Linked DNA regions of Callithrix jacchus. The protein of the gene in region 2 purifies or fractionates together with the protein of the main gene of each other region. This does not show direct contact. Links are inferred from orthologs where the notes say so. Each region holds a gene or a part of one and is shown on either strand. Other genes may lie near its edges.

The links.
Region 1: the proteins of VSX1 (region 2) and USP12 purify together in Homo sapiens (affinity purification with mass spectrometry; 3 studies listed by BioGRID and IntAct, counting the BioPlex papers as one, with this or other methods). This does not show direct contact. The link is inferred for Callithrix jacchus from reciprocal best matches to the Homo sapiens genes VSX1 and USP12.
Region 3: the proteins of VSX1 (region 2) and WDR20 purify together in Homo sapiens (affinity purification with mass spectrometry; 3 studies listed by BioGRID and IntAct, with this or other methods). This does not show direct contact. The link is inferred for Callithrix jacchus from reciprocal best matches to the Homo sapiens genes VSX1 and WDR20.

What each region holds. Positions count from the first base shown.
Region 1 is NC_133506.1:146,238,080-146,245,490, forward strand, and holds part of USP12 (ubiquitin carboxyl-terminal hydrolase 12), read right to left. Parts: intron 2,724-7,411; coding exon 2,526-2,723; intron 1-2,525. UniProt on the Homo sapiens protein: Deubiquitinating enzyme that plays various roles in the regulation of the immune response and inflammation.
Region 2 is NC_133506.1:31,797,702-31,805,872, forward strand, and holds the start of VSX1 (visual system homeobox 1), read right to left. Parts: upstream 5,034-8,171; 5' UTR 4,992-5,033; coding exon 4,571-4,991; intron 2,442-4,570; coding exon 2,363-2,441; intron 1,875-2,362; coding exon 1,751-1,874; intron 591-1,750; coding exon 410-590; intron 1-409. UniProt on the Homo sapiens protein: Binds to the 37-bp core of the locus control region (LCR) of the red/green visual pigment gene cluster. May regulate the activity of the LCR and the cone opsin genes at earlier stages of development. Dispensable in early retinal development.
Region 3 is NC_133509.1:137,064,749-137,072,851, reverse strand, and holds the start of WDR20 (WD repeat-containing protein 20), read right to left. Parts: upstream 5,195-8,103; 5' UTR 5,168-5,194; coding exon 4,919-5,167; intron 1-4,918. UniProt on the Homo sapiens protein: Regulator of deubiquitinating complexes. Activates deubiquitinating activity of complexes containing USP12. Anchors at the base of the ubiquitin-contacting loop of USP12 and remotely modulates the catalytic center of the enzyme.

The DNA.
Region 1 (7,411 bases), about 110 Mb from region 2:
GAGGACTAGTAAAGTGAGAAAAATTAGGCGGCTTTTTCCTTAGAACGGCAGACAAAATTTAATTTCATAAACTAAAAATAAAATGAGAGATGAAGGGCTGAACTTCCACCCAAGGAAGTTGTTTCTTAGGCATCTGATTTCTGGACATTAAACATACTCGGTTGACTAGTACAAATGCCGAATATATGCAAATAACTGTCTACTGCTGTGGAGATGGAGATATCAACAACTTCTTGCCCAAAGACCCCGTTAGTACAGTAGATAACTACTCCAAAAACATAATCCAAAGCAGAATATGTTATAAAAGTAGAGCCACAGAAGAGACCTCATCCAGTGAGAGAGGAGGTGGAAGGGAGACAGGGCTGGGGAATCAAGAAATGGAGCCCAGGTCTGACATGGGCTTGAAGGGTAATACTCAGTCAGCAAACATTTGCTGGAAATCTCCTCTAGGCTGAGCACTGGGGATAGAGAAGGAGCAAGCTGAACTGGGACTGACATGCTAACAATGAGGCTGTGCACACCCTCCACATTTTCATATGAAACAAATCTACAAATAAGTCTGATAGATAAAATACACCATGGAAAAATATTCTAAAATATGATTAGTCTGTTATTAGTGAGCAAATTATTTCCTGTTTTAAAAAGCACCTGTACTCACAAGGGAAGTAGACAAACACCCTTTTTGTACATACATACAGTACACAAAGCACTAAGACAGGGTTAGCAATGCACATCTAGTATTTATGTGAAGACAGTGGAGCAGCACCACGTGGGGACAGGGCTAGGCAGAAGAGCATCAAAGAAGACATCCAGAGAGAAGGGGCAGGAAGGCATGAGGCAATGAGAGTGAGACAGGAGGAAGAGTAAAACCCTGGAGTGGGGGCGGGAGTCCCAAAGACCTGCTGTGCCAGATTCCACCAGGAGTGAGTTCCCAGTGAAGGCAGACCACCAGGGCTGTGAGGAAAGTCAATAAGCATCTCTCTGCAATTTTCTGCAAGAATTCTGACAGTAGGGATTCAGACAGCTGGCAAGAGGATTTTACAGTACTTGTAAGTACATGCTTTAAATAACTGACTGTGGAGTTCAAGTTGGGAGAAGGAAGTGAGGTCAAAGAAAAGGTTAAAAAGGGAAAGGGTCAAGAGACCTGAGTGAGGATTTAAGGGTGGGAAAAGAATTGGATTACTTTTAAAAGGAGAGTGGGGAGGGAAACCCTGTTGCCATCTGAGTTAGGATTCTCAACTCAGTATCTCGTGAATAGTGATTCTAAACTTCTAGCATAATTAAGTAGGGTAGGACTATCACTAAATTTAAAGAGATTAAGAATAGTCTAGTTAGGGTGTGAGAAAGTAACTATGAAGTTAGGATGCGAGAAGGTAATATTATATTTTTGTTACTAAAACAACAGCAGCAGTTAAGTGATTTACATCTCCCTTTGAATCCGAACAAAGCAATGAGGTAGTTAGTACTATTGACACTTTCTAGAAGAGAAAACTGAAGCTTTTTCAGGAAGCTAGGCATGATGTCACATGGCCCACAACTGGCAGAAATGGTACTGATACCCAGGTTTCTCTCACTCTGAAAACCTGATCTGAATCATCACACCAAAGTTCTCTAAGTAATCTGACACTACTTCACTCCTTTAAGATGTGATCACTCTTAATTTAGAAGTAGAAGAAAGACACTTGCTGACGATGAAAGACTGGAGCCAAGATTGACCCAGGCAATAGAGGTGGAAGATGATTACTACAGAGCATTTGCTCCCTCCGGATTGTCCTTAAAAATTCTCATCTGAGAGGTGGGAGGAGGGCTGAAGATGGGAGAGCTGGACGTCTTTTTAAAGCATGTTGTTAGGACACGTTTCCCAAAACCAGCATTGATGAGTGCCTGTTTTAAAATTATTTTTAAAAATTCTAAGCAATCAATGAAGACAGTAGTTTACAAATACAAGTTTTGATTATGTGATACTCTTGCAATATGAAAATGTTTTGAGGTATTTAATAAGGTCAGTTATATGTATGTACATTATACAAAGATGTGTATACCATGTTGGAAAAGAAGATGAAAAGGAGACACAACACTAAACTGGCTAATAGGAAATGACAACTACACACATGGGTAAAATCAGAAAATGAATCTTTGAAGATTATTTCCAACGTCATTTTAAACCTTTATGACCATTAATATGAACATATGCAATTAAACTCAGAAGTGACTTATTTTAACAACCCTCTACACACACATGCTAAAAAGGGAAAAGAAAAACAAAGAGACCTCAAAGTTCTAGGAAATAAGATGTAGTAGTTGTAGAGTAACAAATGATAAAAATAAAAATAATATATTTAACATATAAAAACTTTAAGGAGTGATAAAATGTAAAGCTAAAAATCCATTTTGAAACAAAATTGTCTTGAGGAGGATATAGAATTTCTAAAAGTTCTATATTTGAATCATTCATGAATATCTTGAATGTACACTGCTCTTCCAACCTAGAAATTCCACTACTATGTACCCGGAGTTGTAATTACCTTCCACAGTGAACCACAACAGCAACAAGGTCGTACATTCTGTCTGGATTGGTGGCATCACCTGAAGTGTTAAATAGACGAAGTTCTAAAGGAAAAACTACCCGGTAAGAGAGTTTTGTATATCGATGAAGTTGATCCATATATTTAAATCTCTTCAGGTGCAGAGCTAGAATCATGGGCAGTTTTTTAACTTTCATCCTATTAAAAATAAAAATGAAAACAAAATTTCATAAAAGATATCCACCATGTCCTTGAATTATCAAACTTTATGATATCCAATGAACAGACAGCCAAGGGTTGGTTTTAATAGCCCAGCACTGCCCAGTTTTGCATATTTCTACCAATTATTTTTATATGGACAAAACAATATTCTGAACACCCTAAGACGACCCCACCCTACCCATCATTACCACACCACATCATTTGACACAGCACTCAATACAGCTCCAAGACAGATGGAATGGCATTAGTCCTTGGTTAAGGAATATTTATATTTCAAACACACATCTCTTATAATAAGGCTGAATGCACAGGGTGCTCAAGAGTGGTAGAGGAAAAACAAGTTTCTTGAAACTGACAATTCCTTTGGACTTGAGTGGACTGAAATCCATTTTTTTCTATCAGTCTATGTGATGCAGATACAGACTAACAATAGGAGACTAAAATAATAAAAGCACTAAAGACCATTCAATGTGCTTGTCAGAGATAAGAAATAATTCCATATTAAGAACAATGGCTATGTACAGCCTAGAAAGGGAATAAAATAACCTGGAAACTCAGGAGTTAAGATTTTAATTGTGAAACACAGGCTGTTCTTAATGTTCAAAATAGTCTTTATGATGCCTTTAAATGCTATTTCTCCCTGAGAGTGCCTTTGTACTCCTACTTCACCTAAAAATCTATTCTTCTTTTAATGGCTCAGCTCAAATGTCACACCCTCTGGCACAAATACCTGCTCTCTTCAATCCTCCATCAGCACTTTTCAGGTTCACTTTATATATGTCAAGCTTATTACATGGTAAAAGTTTTAGGTGGTTACGGTTCTTTTCTTCTAGGCCCTGGACCTTTGGCAGCTTAGAAAGCATTCCCTTCATTTTTATTTCTCCACTATCTAGCAACATGCCTGGCATATGATAGATGCCAAATGTTGCAGAACTGGATTTTAAATGGATTTAGTGAAGCAAAATATTCCTCACAATTTAAAGAAATGATAAATGGTAAGCCACTGCCTCTAGTAAGTAAAAAAAAAATCATTTTATAACATTACACTAAATCTGCATTCTACACATCTTAGATATGGTAGATAGCTTATTATTCCTAAATTACTTACTATTCAGCTAACTTGGCCTTTTGGAAACATTAGCCAAAGTAAAGGTAAACAACCCAGCAATATGAATTAAGAGCTTTTATGGCCTTTGGTTCAGTAATCCTATTTCTAAAAACATAAATTAAAATATATAACCTCAAAACATCACTTATGAGAATAATCTATTTGTAGAGTTCTTTTACATTGTGAAAAATCCCAGCTATTCAACAACAGGTAATGTTAAAATAAATTAGAATGCAAACATAACAGAGTGTTATACAACTTAAATAAAACAATGCGGATGAAAGTTTCTAGGTGACAATGGAAAATACAAGTTAAAAAGTATATAAAATTATACATAAAATAATTCAACTATGAAACATAAAAATCTTTGATTAAACCCACGTAGAGTTACTGAAACAAAATCTTTACAAAACAGCAGGGTATCCTTTGCGAATTTCCAATGAATGGCAGATGCAAAAGAAGAATTTTCTCAGCATAAAATGAGTGTCAGTGTACTATTAATAGATGGCAGTCAGGTAAGATTAGGAAGAAGAAAGATAATGAACATGGCCTGATGGTTAGGGAAAATGTGCTTTTAGAAATTAAAGAGGGGAAGTCCAAATGCAGAAAAAAGAAAATATCTCAATAATAGCAGATACAATATGTTTGATCAGACAACACATGAAGAAGATGAATCCTATTGGCCAAAGATCCTCCCAGAGAACTGCTGGCTACCACAAAGAAACCAACTGCCCATGGAACTGTCATGCAAAAATATGTGTGGAGCCATATTTTAAAGATGCTGCTAGCTTACAAAATTTCCCTCATATTGAAATGGTTCCAGAAGAAAAAGCAGAAAACTGCTTGAACATACGTGTAAGGAGTGTGAAACTCATTATGTAGATTTTGCAGCAGAAGGAAGAAAAAAAGGTTGATTTCCTGCTCGAAACACCAAGACCACCAAAACACCAAAGAATTTATAGGATTCTGGCTTTCCTTCTATTCAAACTTGTGGGGAGGGAGGTTATGTTAGGGAGCTCTTGATCACTGTCATTGTTTTAAAAAACAGTTGTCTTAGAACATGTTATCTACAAAAGACAAAATTTTGAAGAAAAAAACAGAAGGACAGAGAACATATTTTTCCTTTTTAAAGTCTGAATAGACAATGATTTTTAAAATTCTGTAAATGGATAAAATTAATTTTCTATTAAAATTTATTTTTTAATGACATTTACCGATCACATAAACAACTACTTAAAATGTGGATGAATTTCTGTTATTCAGTTGGCCCGCCACATCTGGGAGTTCCAGATCCACAGATTCAACCAACCATGAATTGAAAATATTCAATCAATCAATCAATCAATCAATAGAATGACAAGAAAAATAATACCATTTTAAAAAATACAGTGTAACAACTATATATAGCATTTACATTGTATTATGTATCAAAGCACACAGGAGGATGTGCATAGGTTATATGCAAATGCTATGCCATTTTATATCAGGGACTTGAGCATCCAGGCATTTTGCTGTATGTGAGGACCCTGGAATCAATTGATACTGAGGCACAACTGTAGGCATTTTCTTCCTTTTACGTCTTTAAAATGACAAATTGCATCCATTCTGTATTCTAACATAATAAGGGTTGCCTTTCTTGATAATGTCTAATTATAATTTAAAACTATTCAGAAAAGAAAGCAGAAGGATGGGAAAAGATACACCATGTAAACACCAATCCTAAGTAAGCAGGCTATCCTAATGTCAGACAAAGCAGACAAGATAAAGAATATTACCAGAGATAAAGAATACTTCATAATAACGAAGGTCAATTCACTAAGAGGACATAACAATCTTAAAAGCATGTGCTCCAAAATGGGAAAGAATTATAGAAGTAAACAGATAAGTGTATAATCAGAATTGCAATGTTTACAGACTTCTCTCACTAATAGCAAAAAAAAAAAAAAAAATCAGTACGGATATAGGAAAATATGAACAACCTAACTATGGATTTAATTGACATTTATGGAATACTCTATCCCAGACTGCACTATACGCATTCTTCTCAAGTTCAATCAAAACATTCACTAATGTATTGAACAATAAAAGAAGTCTCAATAAATTTAAAAAGATGAAATTGGAGTACGTCCTCTGATAAAAAAAAAAAAAAAATCTAGAAAATCCCCCCAGATATGGAAACTAAGCAACATATTTCTAAATAACCCATAGGACAAACAGAACATCACAAAAGACCCTAAGAGCAAACTCTGAGATAAAAAGTCCCAGTCCCAGGCCTGTGATTTATTAATGTAGTGGGTGGATGGACGGGTGTGTGTGTGTGTGTGTGTGTGGAAGGGGGAGGAGGGGGAGGGGTAGCAGGGAAGGGAAGGAAAACAGGTAAGGATTCAATCTCAAGCAAAATCTCAGAAAGGGTGGCTTCAGCCCAGTGTCACAGAGAAACTCCAGAAGCTAAATTTCACCTCAGATATATCTTGACCACAAGGTAGCTGCGCTTTCATATGCTCTTCAGCACCTGTCAGTGGCTGGTCAAAGACTGGGAATTTGAACCAAATTGCCAGAAACTCCCTTCTCCAGTAGCCCACGGGGGAGTCCTTCCCAAAGCCAGCAGGTGCTAAGTATTAGAAAACAATCCAAAGGACTAGGAAGAAGCTGGACAAAGGACCAACATCGCCTGCAACCACCCCCAACCAGAATAGCAATTACCCTGCCGCAGGCAAGCAACACGATTACTGGATGGAATGCAGACCCTGAAATCCAGTGGAGTCTCATCTCTGAATTGTTTTTCTCAATAGTCAGAAACAATTTTTAAAGTAAATTTCCCATTTTTATAAACTGTGTGAGCCAAACAGAGAGTTCTACAGATGGAATTTGATCCAGAAGACACTATTTGCAAGCTCTACCGCAGATGAATGTAATATCCAGCCACAGGCACTTATGAACTTGCCAACATCCTGTCAGCAGAGAAGTCCTGACCACACAGAAAAGCTTAATAATTATAAAGACGCACAGTTCTAAGGTCTGAATTCCATGCTCTTTTAAAGTGTACCATTAACAAGGATTAATTGTGGCACATTACAACGAGGGGGTCAGGGGAAATAGAATGCTTTACGTGAGAAAGACACTAAGGTAACTCAGTAAGATATAAGCAATGAGAGGACATTTAGGTGGCAGAACCTATCCCCAGCATGTGTTAAAATGAGGGATGGGTCACAGGCACAAATGAGGCCCATGGCGTACCCTAACATGTGTATAGAATACAGTATTGAGTGACAGACATCTGGAGATCCACGCAGGCATGCAGGCAGGCAGGCAGGCAGGGAGCCAGGTGGCACCAACTTCTCAACAGATGGAAGGACCCACCCAACTCAGATTCCAGAAGACTTGCACGAGGGTATGCATGCAAGAAGCAGCTGGAGATGTTGACTACAGCAAATCCCTATTGCCAATATGATTTTGACATGATACTACACAAGTAACCATGACTGGGACTGGCTACAGGGGAATAAGATATGAATCTAGTTGGGAAGATTAAATAAAAGGTAGGGCCTTCATCTCA
Region 2 (8,171 bases):
CCTCCTGACTCAGATGGAGGGGCTCACTGTCTCCCGGGGTCGCTGCTCGGCACTGCCCTGTCCTATTACTAAGCGCCCTAAATTATATGGTCTAAAAATTCTAACAGCATTCAAGACTTGGGAAACATATTTCACATAATGCAATGATGTCATTTTACCCTTAAATCCCAAATACATATTTAGCATACTTTTTCACAGAGCCTAGACAGTCTCTGTGAAAAATGAGGCAACCGTCCAGTTGCTGCAAGCTTTGTTATTAAATAAAAATAAAAAGTAAGGTTCTGGGCCTGAATCTCAGTAAATTGACGTTGCCTTGCTTTGGAAACGGCTGCCTCGGTGGGAACCCCCGGGGATCCCCCTACCTCCCCCAACACCCGGAACCACAGGCTCCCGGGGGGCCCTTTCTTACCCAAGAGCCAGGGCGCGCAGGAGCCGAGCAGGCCGCCCTCGGCGGAGTTGAGCACGGAGTCGGGCAGCGGGATGCAGTGGCGCACCATGGCCCCGTACAGCCCGTACTCGGCCATCACGCTGCTGCCGCCCCAGCGCTTCTCCCGCTTGCGCCATTTGGCCCTGCGGTTTTGAAACCAGACCTGGTTGGAGGCAGGAGGGAAAGCAGAGGGCACACAGAAGAGACAGTGAAGAGGGGCGCCTGGAGGAGCGCAGGCGGCGTCCCTGGGCTCAGAGCTCCTCGCTCCAGCACGATCCCATGTTATTTCTGAAGGAAATAGCTCCTGAGAGCCAACCAGCCGCCCCCGGGGAGCGCACCCAGGAGCCCCCAGCGGCGCCCACGTGCACTCCGGACTCACGGGCATTCAGCGCGCTACGGACACGAGTGACCACGTCCACTGAAGTTTCCATAGAGTCAGGGATGTATAAACTAAAGAATCAAACTCCCTTTTCCCACATTGTGTGAAGAGGTCAATTACAGGGTTTCTTTTTCTCATTGATTGGGAAGCGTTCACTGGGGCAATCGCTCCTTCCAAGCTTAGGCTATTGGATTGCTTGGTGATATTTCTCATGAAAAACATTATGTTAGTGAAAGACTATTATGAAATATGGTGTAGCTGTTAAAAAGGAGTGACATATCTTCTGGCAAAGACAAAAGCAAACTTCCACCTATGCATGTGAGCGTGTGTGTATGCACGTAGATATGTGTATGCGCGTAGATATGTGTATGCATGTAGATATGTGTATGCGCGTAGATATGTGTATGCATGTAGATATGTGTATGCGCGTAGATATGTGTATGCGCGTAGATATGTATATGCATGTAGATACGTGTATGCGCGTAGATATGTGTATGCATGTAGATATGTGTATGCGCGTAGATATGTGTATGCATGTAGATATGTGTATGCGCGTAGATATGTGTATGCGCGTACATGTGCAGTGGCAGGTAATGTGCTCCACAAAGTGCAGAAAGGTCTCCTCAGGCATTTATGTTGATTTCTTTCAGGGTTTAACATGGAGAGGTAGTCTCCACCCCCCCACCCCATTGGCATATCTTTATATAGTTTCTAGTTGCAACACACATTATTGCGTGATTTTAAAGAATAATTTGATATTAATAATAATAAAAGGAAAAAGGGCATGAGGGTCACAGGGACATGCTCTTGTGGTGCTTTCAGCTAAGGGACCCTCAGTTTCTGTGCAAAGGAAGCTGTAGAGAGGGACCACTGATTGGCTGACTGAGCGTGGGAATGACACGTTCTCTATGTGTCTTCAAAAAGGAGAAAAGGGACCCCGACACCTGTATCCGGTCTTCAGGGAGCTCGGTTTTCACAGCCAGCATTTCTCGGGCATACACATCAGGGTAGTGGGCCTCGCTGAACGCCTTCTCCAGCTCTTCCAGCTGGTGAGCAGTGAAAACTGTCCTGCAGGGACCCCAAAACACACACGTCGGCACGAGTGCCCTGGGGAAAGCAGCCTCCCTGGCCTTAAGGACCACCGTGCCTGCCTCCCCCACTGTCAACACCTCAGAAGCCACCTCATGATAACAGGACACCCCATCTCTGAATGATTAGCTGATGTAGTCCAGAAGTTTGATTCAAACAAAAACAGTCCTTTAGCTCTTTCTTAATGAATTCCATCCATTCATTCTGGCAAAATCTATCTAACAGACCCACAAAATTGTGTCTTTAAAATGCTACCGAAAAAAATACTACCAAGACTGTAGCATTTTCCCAGCCTCCTGGGACTGCAAAATTGTCTTCCCAAATGGCTTCTGTGCTCTTCCCACTGCCAACCAGGAGGCCATTGGGCCTGCCATCATGCAGGGCCATAAATTCTCAGGTGCAGGTGCCAGAAAACTTGGGCTGTGTCCCAAGGAAAAGCAGGCAGAGAGGACTGCCTGGCCCTGTACCTGTGCCTCCGCTTCTTCCTCTTGCTCAGGGTGGGGGACGCCTTTAGGTCATTCCTGTCTTCACATGGGCTGTCCTCATCTGCTGGCACAAAAAGGAGTTTAAAGGTGATCATATTCTCCCTTTTATTTCCTAGATTTCAGTGTAAGGAGTGAAGTTATGAACCTCTCGGGTATTTGAGTAGTGAATAATAGGAGCATTTTTGGCACCTACTAGATCCCGGGCTCTGCGCTTAACCTTGCCCATGTATTATCTCAAGTGTTCTTAATAAAACACTAAAACACAAAAGCGGCTGCTATTATTACCATTCTATTTTTACAGATGAGAAGACTGAGGCACAGAATGGTTAAGTAATTTGCCCAAGAGCACACAGGTAGTAAATGGTGAAGTTGGGATTCAAATCCCAGATCATCTGAAGCCAGAGCTACTCGGCCACTGATTAGACTTTCTGTCCCCACACTGCTTCCAAACATAGTTTTATCACCTTAACCTCTAAACCAACATTTCCCAAAGGAAGTCCAGGGCTTGTGACATCAGAACGCTTGTCAGAACTGCATCCCTGCCCTGATGCACCAAATCAGATTCTCTGGAGGTGGGGTCTAGGAGGCGCCTTCTTGACAAGTGTGCTCAGATGATTTGTAGTTGCCCCTGAAAATTTGAGAACCGCTCTGCTCTGTTTTACCTTTTTATACTCATTATATCAAAAAGTCTAGATGGAAAAGAAAGTTAGAGGACCAAACTATTGTGAGATTCATTGCAAGAAAGCATTATTTCCTCAAAATATTTTTTAAATGAGTAAAGGCAAAAATAACTAAATAATAATAGTTTTATTACATCAATTACACCCTACATCAATTAGTCCACCAGAAACCTGACTTGGATTAAAACATTCTGTATTGGGCTGTCCAACCTGAGACCTGCTGTAGACATAAATCAGTCAATGGAGTTAGAAGACTTAGTGCTCCTAAAAAGTAAAATTTTTGTGTTGATTATGTGTAAAATGATAACAGTTATGAATATTGTTGGGTTAAAATGCAGTATTTAGATTCATTTCACTTTTAATGTGGCTGGGAGAAACTTCCATCAAACATGTCATCACATCACATTTCACTTGGACAGCTCTGCTCCAGATCTTCAGAAATGCCTGCAGAATAGAATTTAGCTGCCTTTCATTTTGTCAGTGCTCATAGAAGAATGAACTCATCCCATGAAGACAGTTTTTGCATTTTTAGTGACACTGATAGGAAGTTTCATTTTGTCTTAAGTAGAGGCTCATGAAATTAAGTCCTTTTAGAGTGGAGCCTGCCTGTTGATCTGATATGCTTCCTTCTAATAACAGGAGACCCAGTGTACTCTTTTTTCCTTGGCTGCCTGGATGCTCAGCTCTAGGTTCTACCACGTACCTTCGCTAGTCCACTCTTTCTTTCGTAATTCTTTCTTTTCTCTCCCACACCCCAACCCACTCGGTTTCTTAGCCCTTGTCCTTTACAGAATTTCATTGCTTCTTTTTCTTTCCCCGCCACCCGCCTGGATTTCTTTGAGGAGATGGGTAGGCGGAGAACACATCTCTAGGCTAACTACATAACTCTAGGCTTAATGAATCCCCGAGGTTGCTTCTTTCTCCTGCCCGCGGTGCCGGCAGAGGAGCAAGGTAACCGAGACCCTCTTTTCAGCACCCTGAGGGACGGACAGTTCCTGGGCTCGAGGCCCGGTGCTCTTCAAGGAGCCGCCAATCATTCGATCCGTTCCGCCCGCGTTTCCACCTGGTACCAGGTTCGGTGCTGCTGGTGAACAACACAGGCCCCAGGCCTTCCCGACCCACGCCGCTGCCAGAGGCTGAGACTGGCGCCTGGCGCTGAGGGTAAAAAAGGCCTTCTGGAGATGGTTGTTGGGGTGCCAAGACCATCAACCCCAAGACCCTTGGTGCCAAGGGTCTCATCAAAGGGTTCCACCTGGCACCAGGTGGTGGCGGTCCGGCATTGCCGAGGAAACAGGATCCCGGATGAGAGGCAGGAATTTAGGATGCTGCAAGGGGCCGGGGGCGCAGCTCCGCGAATGCTCCTCCCCCGACCGGGCCTCGCTCTGGGCTCCCCGCTGCCCTTAGATCTGGGCCGCTGGGGCCGGGGGTGTAGTGGGGCGATGGTGTGTGACCCTGCGCGGCTCGGAGCCTAGGGGACCGGGGCAGGAGCGGGAATCGCGGGCCTGATTACCGGATGTCGAGACGCTCTCGCTGCGCTTCTGGCGGCCGAGCGCAGGCGGCCGACTGGGGGCCTGCGGGGCAACGGGCTCGGGGCCCCTGGGCGGCAGGAACGGCACGTCAGTTAGGAGCAGGCAGGGCGCTCGAGCGGCCGCGGGAGGCTGCGCGCCGAAGCCACAGAGGAGGCCGAGCCCCAGCGGGAGGCCCCCACGCGCCAGGCTGGAGCTGTCGAGCCCTGGGCCAGGGCACGGTGCGGCCGCCGGACCCTCGCAGCCAGATCCCTGTTCCGGGCCGGCGGGCGCCGGCAGGTCGGCCTCCAAGCCCAGCAGGTCCGTGATGGCGAAGCCCCGGGGTCGCGAGCCCCGGGGAGAACCGCCAGGCACCAGCGCCCTGCTCCTGGTGCGGCCGTCGGAAAGCGCGTCCCGGCCAGTCATGGTTCCTTAGCCAAAAGGCGCGAAACTCTCTGGACCCCGTTTGCCGAGGGCCCAGCTTAGAGGAAGCTTTATACGATTGGGCTGCCGGTCGGGCGCGGGAGGCCTGAAGGGCTCCAATCAGCTGGGCGCGGGCGCGTCGCCGTTCCGGACCCCGCGAGTTGGGGACGCCACCAGTTCTCCTCCCCTCGGTTACCGCCCTCCCAGCTGCAGTCCTCTCAGTCACCTCCTTCTCCTCTCTTCTCTCCAGCCCACCCCACCCCCCATTCTAGGAAGGAGGAAAGGAGAAAAGGGAAGGGGCAGTGACTCCGCTGTCTCCCTGTCCCTGGAAAAGCCTCAAGTTCTACATCCTGCCGTGGTCTTCTCCTTTCTTCCAAACTCTGGGTGGAGGTCCCACTCCCAGCTGCCCTGAAGCTTCTTTGATGCTACCCAACTGCCCATTAAGACCTAGCACCCCATTCTCAACCACACCCCCATGGCTACTACCAGTAAGTCCCCAACCAGCCCTCCACTTCTGCCGCCGGTGCCACGAAGGCCTTCCCGCAAGACGGTCTTCTCCGAAAATCCCCAAAGGGAAAGGAATGAAAATCGTATATTTAATCTTCGGTCATTCTTCCTCCATCCAAATCTATCCCCAGGCTCGTCCCCAGCACTCCACGGGCTGAGCTGTAGGGGGTCGCTGACTCACACAAGCTGGGGAAAGGGAGAGAAGCAGAGGCAGGAGTGAACTGCCCTGGGCTGAGACGGGCAGGGTACCAGGTTTAACGAACAAAACATATTAGGTTCAGTGAAATGTGAATTTCGGATAAACAAGGAGGGCCATTTTTTTTTTTTTTCCGTAGGAGTAAGTATCAGTATTTATTCAGCAACCCAAAATTGGGAAGGAGTAGAGGGAGGTAAATTGGAATAAAATAGTGTCTGTCTACTGGAAAGCACTTTTCATCGAGGCTTACAATATTGTGCGGTTTCCCGATTATTCAAAGAAACCCTGATTCTTTGAATAATCTGAAATATTCGTATTCGTTAAAGTTGACCACAGAGCGCATGGGTTAGCCACTCCTGGTTCGCGCTTTGAACCAACCAACCCTCATCGCTGAGATGCCTGAGTCCACCTTTCCCAATCCCAGAGCCCCGGAAGCCTATCTCTTAAATCCCACTCTCTGAGGGCCCTACAGTCCGAGGTCCCTCAGCGACCGAGGAACGAATGCCTGAGCCCCAGAGGAACCCGGCGCGACTGCCTGCGCTCCTGCCGGGCTGGAGCCCGAGTCCCGGCCCTGAAAAGTGGGTCTCCCGCTCTCTGCGCATTCGGTGGGGCCTCAGCTAAACGTGCAGATTAAACAAAGGGCTTCCGATAAGGATAATTACAGGAGGCTACGCATTAACTTTCCATTACTAAAGGAAGACCCAAATCTTTCCTTGCAAGCTGTTCCCGGGATTAGCAAAACAATAACTTTCCTTTGCGATAATTGTCTTTGAATTGCTCCAGCTCGGGGGCGGGAAGCGGGAGACGCTTTAGATGCCAGAATTGTTTTCGGCTCCCCGACCAATATGCCCCCAGATTTATCTCTGGGTTTAAAGAAGGCGTTGGGCATACTGGGTCCGAAAGAATTGCTCTGGCTCTTCGTGCGGCTGCGTGGTCGTTTGCAAATCCGAATTTGGGGTCGCAGTTAAGGGAGATACCTACGATTCCACACAGTTTGCAGCTCGCGACAGGTCAGGCAGGCAGGGCAGTAGATTCTAAGGTGGCCCGACCGGGGTCGCCCGCGAGTGGAAAGCCTGAGTCACGGGCGGACTCGGGTGCCGCACCTGCAGCGCAGGGTCGCGACCGAGTGGCCTCACCTGGGCCAGGGCTTCGGGTCTCCCTCCCCCTAGGTCTGCCTGGAAGGTTCGCGATCACTGGAGTGACAGACCCCGAGTAGAGAGCCAGTGATCCAAAGACACCAAAAGGCCAGGCGGCAGGAACCCAGCCTCGACCACCACGGTGAGCTCGGCGCAGTGCCAAGAACATCCCCATTCTCAAACCCTCGGGAAGGATCGTCTTAAACTCATTTTGCAGGTGAGAGCAACAGAGACTTATTAACCCAGTCACGTCCGACACAGAGAAAGAGGTGGGGAGAGCGAAACCCAGCAAGAGACCCGATCAAAGGAGCCGGTGTTGGGGCTCTAAGGGAACTCGGAGATGGAGAAGAGGAGAATTTCTAAGGAGTCTTGAAATTCCTGGACTGAGACGTTCCTAACGCATCTCGGGACCCCAATGCCAGGGAGGGGCCTGCAAGATCCCAGCAGTGGACGAGTTGGGTCCTGGGTCACATTGTGTTTCTCAGCGTGGCGGTGGCGGGAGCGCAGCGCAGAAGGACGCTTTCATTTCGCCCTCCCGCGAAGAGAAATGCCCCAATCCGACGCAGCGCTTGATCTGCGTCCCCGCCTCCACCCCCCGCGGCTGCCGGGGCTCTTGAGATCCACTTGCGCGTCCTACGTTGCGGGAATCCGCTCAGCGTGGGCTAGGACCAGAGAGAGAAGCGCTTCTTGCAGTTTAGGAGAGGTCTGCAAGAGACAAAGGGCTGGCTCCTGATCAACCCACACTCCACCTGTCCCTGTGGCGCCCTCGCAGTTGCCAAATCTACCCGCCGCGTTTAAGGGACGCCTCCGCGCCCTGGCGGCGGGGAGAATGGGCTCCTTCTAGCTTCCCCCTCCCACCCCCTCTCAGATATCACCCGTAAATCTATGGCCAGAGGGGCAGCCCCCGCCCCGGGCCATCCCCAGGAATCGTTTTGGGTCCCTAAATCCGTTAAGGGTTCCGAATCTGTCTTCATCAGCCGGGATTACGCGGGATTTAACTAATCAGTAAAGGTTTCTCTGCTCATTATTTTCTAGGGAAGGTCTCCAGCCCCTCTGTCGCCACCGCGAATGTGCCTTGATCGCGCCAAGCTAAGGCTGGACCGGCTGTGGGAGGCTCAGCAAACACCCTTCCTGGGCTTCCCAGAGCCGCAGCTGCCCAGGCTGGCGGGATAAAGTGCTCAGATACAATGGGGTAGGATGCCCGGAGAGGGCGAAAGGGATCTCCCAGAGCGTCTGCGAAAATGAGCCCCACGACTCCGTTCCTCTTATTTTCCTCCCACCTCTGGCGGCTCCATCTCCGATGCTTTTGTGTCTTCAGTTAAAAGTTGTAGCAGACGCTGTTTC
Region 3 (8,103 bases), on a different chromosome or scaffold from region 2:
CTGGAAATCCCAGCTACTTAGGAGGCTGGGGCACAAGAATCATTTGAGCCCTAGCAGTGGAGGTTGCAGTGAGCCAAGATCACATCACTGCACTCCAGCCAGGGAACAGAGCAAGACTCTTTCTCAAAACAAACAAAAACATGTAATGGGGGAAAACTGATACACCCTGGGGATTTAAAGAAGGAGTTACTAAGGAAGTAATGATTAAGCTGAGATCTGAATGGAGGCCATTCATACCGTAAAATAAGAGGTCTGGTCCAATAAGCCCAGCTACACCTTTGACATCTTTTATAACCTACATCCTGAAACAACCATTTTTTTTTTTTTTTTTTTTGAGACAAAGTCTAGTTCTGTCACCCAGGCTCAGGCTGGAGTGCAGTGGTACAATCTTGGCTCACTACAACCTCCGTCTCCTGGGTTCAAGTGATTCTCCTGCCTCAGCCTCTTAAGTAGCTGGGACTACAGGCGAGTGCCACCACGCCCAGCTGATTTTTGTATTTTTGGTAGAGACAGGGTTTCACCATATTGGCCAGGCTGGTCTCGGACTCCTGACCTCAGGTGCTCCACCTGCCTCAGCCTCCCAAAGTGCTGGGATTACAGGTGTGAGCCACCCTGGCTTTTATTTTTGCCAGGAGCCACTGCACATAGTCTCCAGCATTCTTTTTTTTTTTTTCCGAGACGGAGTTTTGGTCTTGTTACCCAGACAGGGTCTCCTTCTGTTGCCCAGGTTGGGGTGCAGTGCCACAATCATGGCTCACTGTAACCTTAACTCTTGGGCTCAAGAGATGTTCCTTCCTCAGCTTCCCAAGTAGCTGTGACTACAGGCACATACCACCATGTCCAGCTAATTTTTTTTTTTTTTTTGGAAGACACAGGGTATTGCTACATTGCCCACGCTGGTCTCAAATTCCTGCACTCAAGTGATTCTCCCACCCCAGCCTCCCAAAGTGCTGGGATTACAGGCATGAGCCATTGCACCCGACCACAACCTCTTTTTCAAAAAGGAGAACAAAGTATGTAAAAAGATGTTTGAAAGCTGGTAGTTGAAAGTCTTTTGGGGAGAGGGACAGGGTCTTATTTGGGTCTGAATACCTCACATCATCTTGCCTAGTATTATTACTATCACAGTAGTCACTCAAATCTGGTGAGATGATTAGTGTCAGCATTAAATCAATGTTAATACTGTCTTTAGTTCAATAAATTTGCAAAACTATATCTCCTCATACAAGAAACCCCATTCCAAACCTCCTCGATTGTGAAAAGATGTTTTAATTTACCTCAAGCATTCAACAAAATAATATACGGTAAAATGCTGGGGTAGATTCTGAAGTGCTTGGAGTATATGATATAAAAAGCTCAGCCTCTTCTAAGATAGTTGTTTAGACTAAGTTAGGCTTCACTTTCCTTACTATGAGAAAAATTCTAACACAGGTTTGCATCCCTCTCTGGCCTTGGTTTCTGAGTAGGGTGAAATAACAAACTCTAGAGTTCCTCGTAGCTGCAGACACTGATCTGTAAACCTTCTTAAAAGGGTCAAGATGGCACTCCTCAGCGTGAATGCTGGACTACTTCCTCACCCACTCCATTTCCCCAGGGCCCCATGCTTCCTCTCAAGAATGGCAGCACGTAATTCATGATTTAAGTTCTTGAAAAGACCTACTTTCTACTCATTTTACATACAGACTTAAGTTGAATTTATTCATTGAAATTAGATCTTCTGAATAATCCAAATAATTATTGTAAAACTGTACATGCCTCAAAGGAAAAAAAAAAAAACAGTCAAAACAGCCAACTGTGGGCTGGGCGTGGTAAGTCACATACATAATCTCAGCAGCACTTTAGCAGGCTGAGGCGGGAAGACTGCTTGAGGCCAGGAAGACCAGCCTGGGCAACACAGCAAGACCTCCATCTCTTAAAAACAAAATTTTTTTTAAAAAATTAGCCAGGTGTGGTGGTGCACGCCTGAGTTCCAGGCACTAGGGAGGCTGAAGTGGGAGGATCATTTGAGCCCAGGAGTTTGAGGCTATAGTGAACTATGAGCATGCTGCCACACTCCAGCCCAGGCAACAGAATAAGATCCTGTCTCTAAAAACAAAATTAAACACATGTTTAATGGCCAGCTGTCAAAAATAAACTTATAACTACTAACTCTAAAAGGTAAATTTTGGTTTTCCAATTAAGGAAAATTTCCTATATTTTAAATCAAAAAATAGTCACAAAAAGTCACTTAGAAATAACACTAAATAAATGCAAACTCATTCATGGAAAAAAGATTTTAAGTTACAATTAAAAGAGTTGAAACATCTGCAACATAATGCAAATGTATCTACAAGCTACTACCACATGAAAATGAAATCCTACCCCCCAAAACACGTTAAAACACTCGAATTGTGCAGGTAAGGGCAATTTACGTATTTCAGATTTATCTTATTTAAAATAATTTTTTGATATAGCTTTAAAAACCTTGCCTACTTCTATCCTTCCGTGAATAGCGTTCCACTAAAAGAGAACACTATTACAATGATACTCCCAGGCAAGAAACCTGTCTTTATGAGGTAAACCAGGGCTACCAGATCCAGATAAGGTTTGCCACTAGGATGCTTCTAAGGTAATAACCTTTGAAAGAAAAAAAAAAAACTTGTTGAGGGTGGGATGGAGTCTAGCTCTGTCACCCAGGCTGCAGTGAAGTGGCACAATCTCAGCTCACGACAACCTCCGCCTCCCGGGTTCAAGAGGTATCTCCTGCCTCAGCCTCCTGAGTAGCTGGGATTACAGGCACACGCCATCATGCCTGGCTAAGTTTTGCATTTTCAGTAGAGACGGGGTTTCACCATGTTGGCCAGGCTGGTCTTGAACTCCTGACCTCAGATGATCCATCTGCCTTGACCTCCCAAAGTGCTGGGATTACAGGCGTGAACCACCGCACCCAGCCAGAAAACTTTTTTTTAAAGTAATGCCTGCATTAATAATTGCTAGTTAATTTAGTTTTTAGGCACACTGTATTTTTAAAACTTAAAATTCTAACTTAATTTCCAGAGACAAAATTGATCCTTTCACTCTGAATATCAACGTCAAGATGGCAGCTTCTTATTTGACAGTTACTCTTAGTATTTAACTATATTTTACATATACTGAGTGTTCATTACAGTTACTATATTATTATTATTTTTTGAGACAGAGTTTCACTCTTGTTGCCCAGGATAGAGCGCAATGGTGCAATCTCAGCTCACTGCAACCTCTGCCTTCCGAGTTCTAGTGATTCTCCTGCCTCAGCCTCCCAAGCAGCTAGGATTACAGGCATGCACCACCACGCCCGGCTAATTTTGTATTTTTAGTAGAGATGGGGTTTTTCCACGTTGGTCAGGCTGGTCTCGAACTCCCGACATCAGATGATCCCTCTGCCTTGGCCTCCCAAAGTGCTGGGATTACAGGCATGAGCCACACCCGGCCAGAGTTATTATATTATTAATTACAACATATGCACTGTAACATTCCCTTTTCAAAGAGGTGAAAATATAAGTTAAATAAGTTATCCAAGGTCACCCAACAAGTGACAATGTTGGGAGTAGGAGTAAAACTTCAGCTCGTAGACTGAAGGCAACTTCAAGCTTTTGCAATACCAAAAGAGAAAAAAAAAAAAAAAAAAGGTCAAGCGATTTACCTTCAATAACTTCCAACAGCATACCCTAAACACTTAAAAGATTCACCCTGAAAGAAACAACTTGCTACATTTAGATACCACTGTCATTTCCCCAGCTCTTTTAACAAGCAAAAATCCTGTACTGGATCTGGCTATATTAAATTCTAGGGAATGTTCACTCTTCGCTATGTACAATTTATTTTCATGCTAACATACATTTACGAATTAATCTTTTATCACCTTGTCCCATTTGGAGGTGGTGTGGGATGCATTAATTTCCTCACTCTTCCATGAAATCAAGTCAAAGACTACAATCTCAAAAATAGCAATTCTCAGTGAAAACATAGTTACATAGTCAACGAAAGAAAAGCTCTAATAAATTGCTGCTTTTAAAGAGATACTTTTAAAGGATGCTTACAGGCTTCACAGAATTACTGGTACCTCACCCGCCAAGAAGGATGGCCCCTTTAAAGTAGCTTTTAAGGCATATTCCTCCCTACTTGGGACACAGTCTGACTTGTTGGACAAGATTAATCTGGGCACTCACACACCACCCCTCTGAACCTGGACACATTATTGCAACAACTGTGGTACTCAGCCCTTCTCATACTACAGGGACAGACAAGATGACCCTTCTTAACAATCTTTGAGAAGGTCCCCTCGGAGGAGACAGTGACAGCCGTCCTCCCGCGGATGTTTTCGGAAATAGAAGTGTTAATACCAAAAGAAGCTCCTAGGAAGTGTCAGTGCGGCAGCAGGTGGAGTAGCCCTGCGTGCCGAGCAGGTTCTTTCTGACCTAGTCTCGGTCCTCCGCTCCCCGGCCCGGGTTCCGCCTTGCGGAGATCCTGCTAAGCCGTCTTGCGCCCCTGTTCTCTAACCCAGGGAAAGACTTCCAACCCTCCAGGGAGGCGAGACAATCGAAGCAGACAAGACGGCCACCCCACCTCTTCCGGGGACTCGCAGGCCCGCTCCCTGGCCATGTCAGAGCCTGACGGACCAGGCTGGAGGGGACGCAGCCGGCTCCTCCGGGAGACTCCCAGGCGGAACCCCGCGCCCCACGGTCCCTTTCCACAGCCCCCACTCCTTCGAAACGCCACCGCCACCACCCTCCTCACTCCTGAATCCCCTCTCCTCAGGAGCACCCCAGTGGAGTTACCGGCCCACTCAAAAGTAAGAGCGACGGCCACCCATCTCGGTCACCCTGGCCCCGCTGTCACCGCCCTGCTCCCGGCCTCTGCCCACGCCGCTGGCGGGCCCCGGTGACGCCCGGGTCGGTACCTTGCGGACCCCCTTGTAGATATAGAAGTAGAGCTCCCGGCCCACATTGAAGCAGAGGCGGTCGCCGTTGCCAGACTGGTCGTTGAGGTTTACGAAGGAGACGCGGACAGGGTTGGATCCCTGCGAGTTGAAGGGCACCCGGTTGGGCCGGCTGTACTCCGAGTGCGGCAGCAGCTTGTAGAGACCTTCCCGGGTAGTGAATTGGGTCTTAATCTCGTTCATCTCCTTCCCTCCTCCCTCCGTCGCCATCTTGGAAAGCAGCGTTCATCCTGCCCTAAGTGCCCGGATCACGCCCACCGCGCAGGCGCCGTTCCTGCTGCTCGCTCTTCCCCCACCCCGCCTCTTCCTTCTCGCCCCTCCCACCCGCGGGCCAGCCCCACGAAGGCGGGCCGAAGAGAAGGGGCGGGCTTGTTTACGGCCCGACTGCGCAGGCGTGCTCACCTGGCGCGCTCCACGCGGCGGGGCGTCCGCAAGCTCCTCCCTTGGGCGTGGCTTCCGGGCTGCTGGGCTGCTTCCCAGGTGAAGCCGGCTCCCGCTTGGGGGCTCAGGTTGCTCATTCCGCATCCGCCCGGGCAGACGGAAAGCCGGACCGGGGAAGCCGCGGCGGGCCTTGCGTCCGGAGCTTGAGGCGAACTTGAGGGCGCCTCCTCAGCTGTCTCCCGCCCTGCCCTGAGGGGTACCGGGACCCCGAAGAGAAGAGCGCCACCCCGACTGCCACTGCTTCGGGGCCAGCACGCGGGGTCCCCTGCCGGGAGCTGGGACGGCTCCAGCCCTCCTGCGCCCTCCCTTCGGGACGGGGACTGTCCCGCCTAGAGGGCTCGAGGACTCGCGCGACCGTCTGGATCCCCTGTCCGGAAGCCCCTGTGAAGCCTCCTCCCCGCCGTTTCTGAGAAGGTACCGAAGGACTCAAGATTTACGCTTCACTGTGTGTGTGTTTTTTAGGCGGGGTGGGGAGAGAGAAGAACGTGGCAGCGCACGGGTATTCTCAAGCCAGATGTCCTTTTCCTGCGTGGTGAGCACTGGCGGCCTCCGCTTCTTAGCGAAGGTTTGTCCTCACCGGCTGTTCCTAGACGGGGGGCGGGGCGGGAAGCGCTTTGGGAACTGCGGACTGCGTCTGTGCAGGATTCACGTCTGCTGCTCAGTGGTTTATGAACAGCTCTTAATAACATTTAAGGTAATTGATTCTTTTTCAGAAGCCTCAAGCGGAGTCTGTAAGACTGTTTACTAGGAGATCCGTAGGGATAGTGGTATGCATGTAATGCACGGGGTCTAGATTTGTAAGGACGGGCACGCGTGCCAACGCAAGATGAAACAGTCACTATTTTATACCTGGGTTTCTTGGCGTGTTGCACCAGAATAAGAAAGTTTCTAAAGTGACAAACATTCTGATAGGATTCCAGGGTGGGGGGGGGGGGGGAACCAACATTTGTAACACTGAAATTGAACTATTCCTGAAGGTTCAGATTAGATCTGGAGGGTCACAAAGGAAGCGAACGGGAGCAATTTCCAAAGTAGGAGAAGTCTAAATCATAAACATTTTCTGTACCACAAAGCAAGTAGACACCAATAGAAACTGTGCCAATGGTGTAATAATACATTTGATAACATCTTTCTCCTTTGTAGTGTTGGCAAAAAAAAAAAAAAGCACTGAAGTCCTATTTAATTAATATAACCTTAAAAATACTTAAATTTTTTTGTTACAATTCTTTCGGTGTTATCTGACTTTCCCTAAAAGTCAAATAGAGATCAAAAATCTTAAAACACTAGGGTATGGGCCAGGTGCGGTGGCTCACGCCTTTAATCCCAGAACTTTGGGAGGTGGGTGGATCACGAGGTCAGGAGATCGAGACCATCCTGGCTAACACGGTGAAACCCCGTCTCTACTAAAAATACAAAAAATCAGCCAGGTGTAGGGGACCGGCACGTTTGCCGGGGGTTTTCCGACCAGCGGAGAGTCTCAGCTCTACTCAAGTGTTTTCAGCTTGGAAGAGGCGCGTGGAGGCACACGCCTGTCGTCCCAGCTACTCCGGAAGGCCGAGGCAGCAGAATCAGCAGAATCGTTTGAACCCGGAAGGCGGAGGTTGCAGTGAGCCGGGATTGTGCCACTGCACTCCACTGAGACTCATCTCCAAAAAAAAAAAAAAAAAAAAACCACCAGTGTATGTTCTGTGGTTGCCATGGCTATATCCCAAACTCCATAACTGTGATACTTTACATTGAAAACATGTATCTGACAGTAATCACTTGAGGGATGGTGACAGCTTGAATAATCTAAAAGCAATTTATCTGTGTTACCTAGTTATCAAGAGGAAAAAACGTATTTATACTTTTTGGGGAAAAAAAACCAGCAAGCAAAAGTTAAAAAAAAAATTTGGGCCGGGCACGGTGGCTCACGCCTCTGTAATCCCAGCACTTTGGGAGGCTGAGGTGGATGGATCACCTGAGGTCAGGAGTTTGAGACCAGCCTGGCCAACATGGAGAAACCCCGTCTCTATTTAAAAAAAAAAAATTTGTATTATTCCTCAATTAACCACAACATTCTATTTCCCATAATACCTATATAATTCAAGCATTCTATCAAGATTTTACCCTATATAAATTCAACATTTTATTATTATCACAGTAATAGACTATTCAATTCGTCTCATGCATAGCCTTTGAATAATCTCTATTTTTATTATTTTTCTCTCATACCTTTTCTTTCTCCCTATACTCAAAGATCCAATAAGTAACATCCAGATCTACATAACTGGGCCTGAGTGGCCAGGTGTGGTGGCTTACGCCTGTAATCCCAACACCTTGGGAGGCCAAAGCAGGCAGATCGTGAGGTCAGGAGTTTGAGACCAGCCTGGCCAACATGATGAAACCCTGTCTTTACTAAAAATACAAAAATTAGCTGGGCACGTTGGCACACGCCATAATCCCAGCTACTCGGAAGGCTGAGGCAGGAGAATCGCTTGAACCTGGGAGGTGGATGTTGCAGTAAGCCGAGATCTCAACACTCCACTGGGCCTGACCTAAACTTTATTTCTGACTTTCAATTTCAAACCGGGTTGGTTTTTTTTTTTTTTTAGACGAAGTCTCTGTTGCCCAGGCTGGAGTAAAGTGATGTAGTCTCAGCTCTCTGCCTCCCATGTTCAAGAGATTCTCCCGCCTCAGCCTCCCCAGTAGCTGGGATTGCAGGC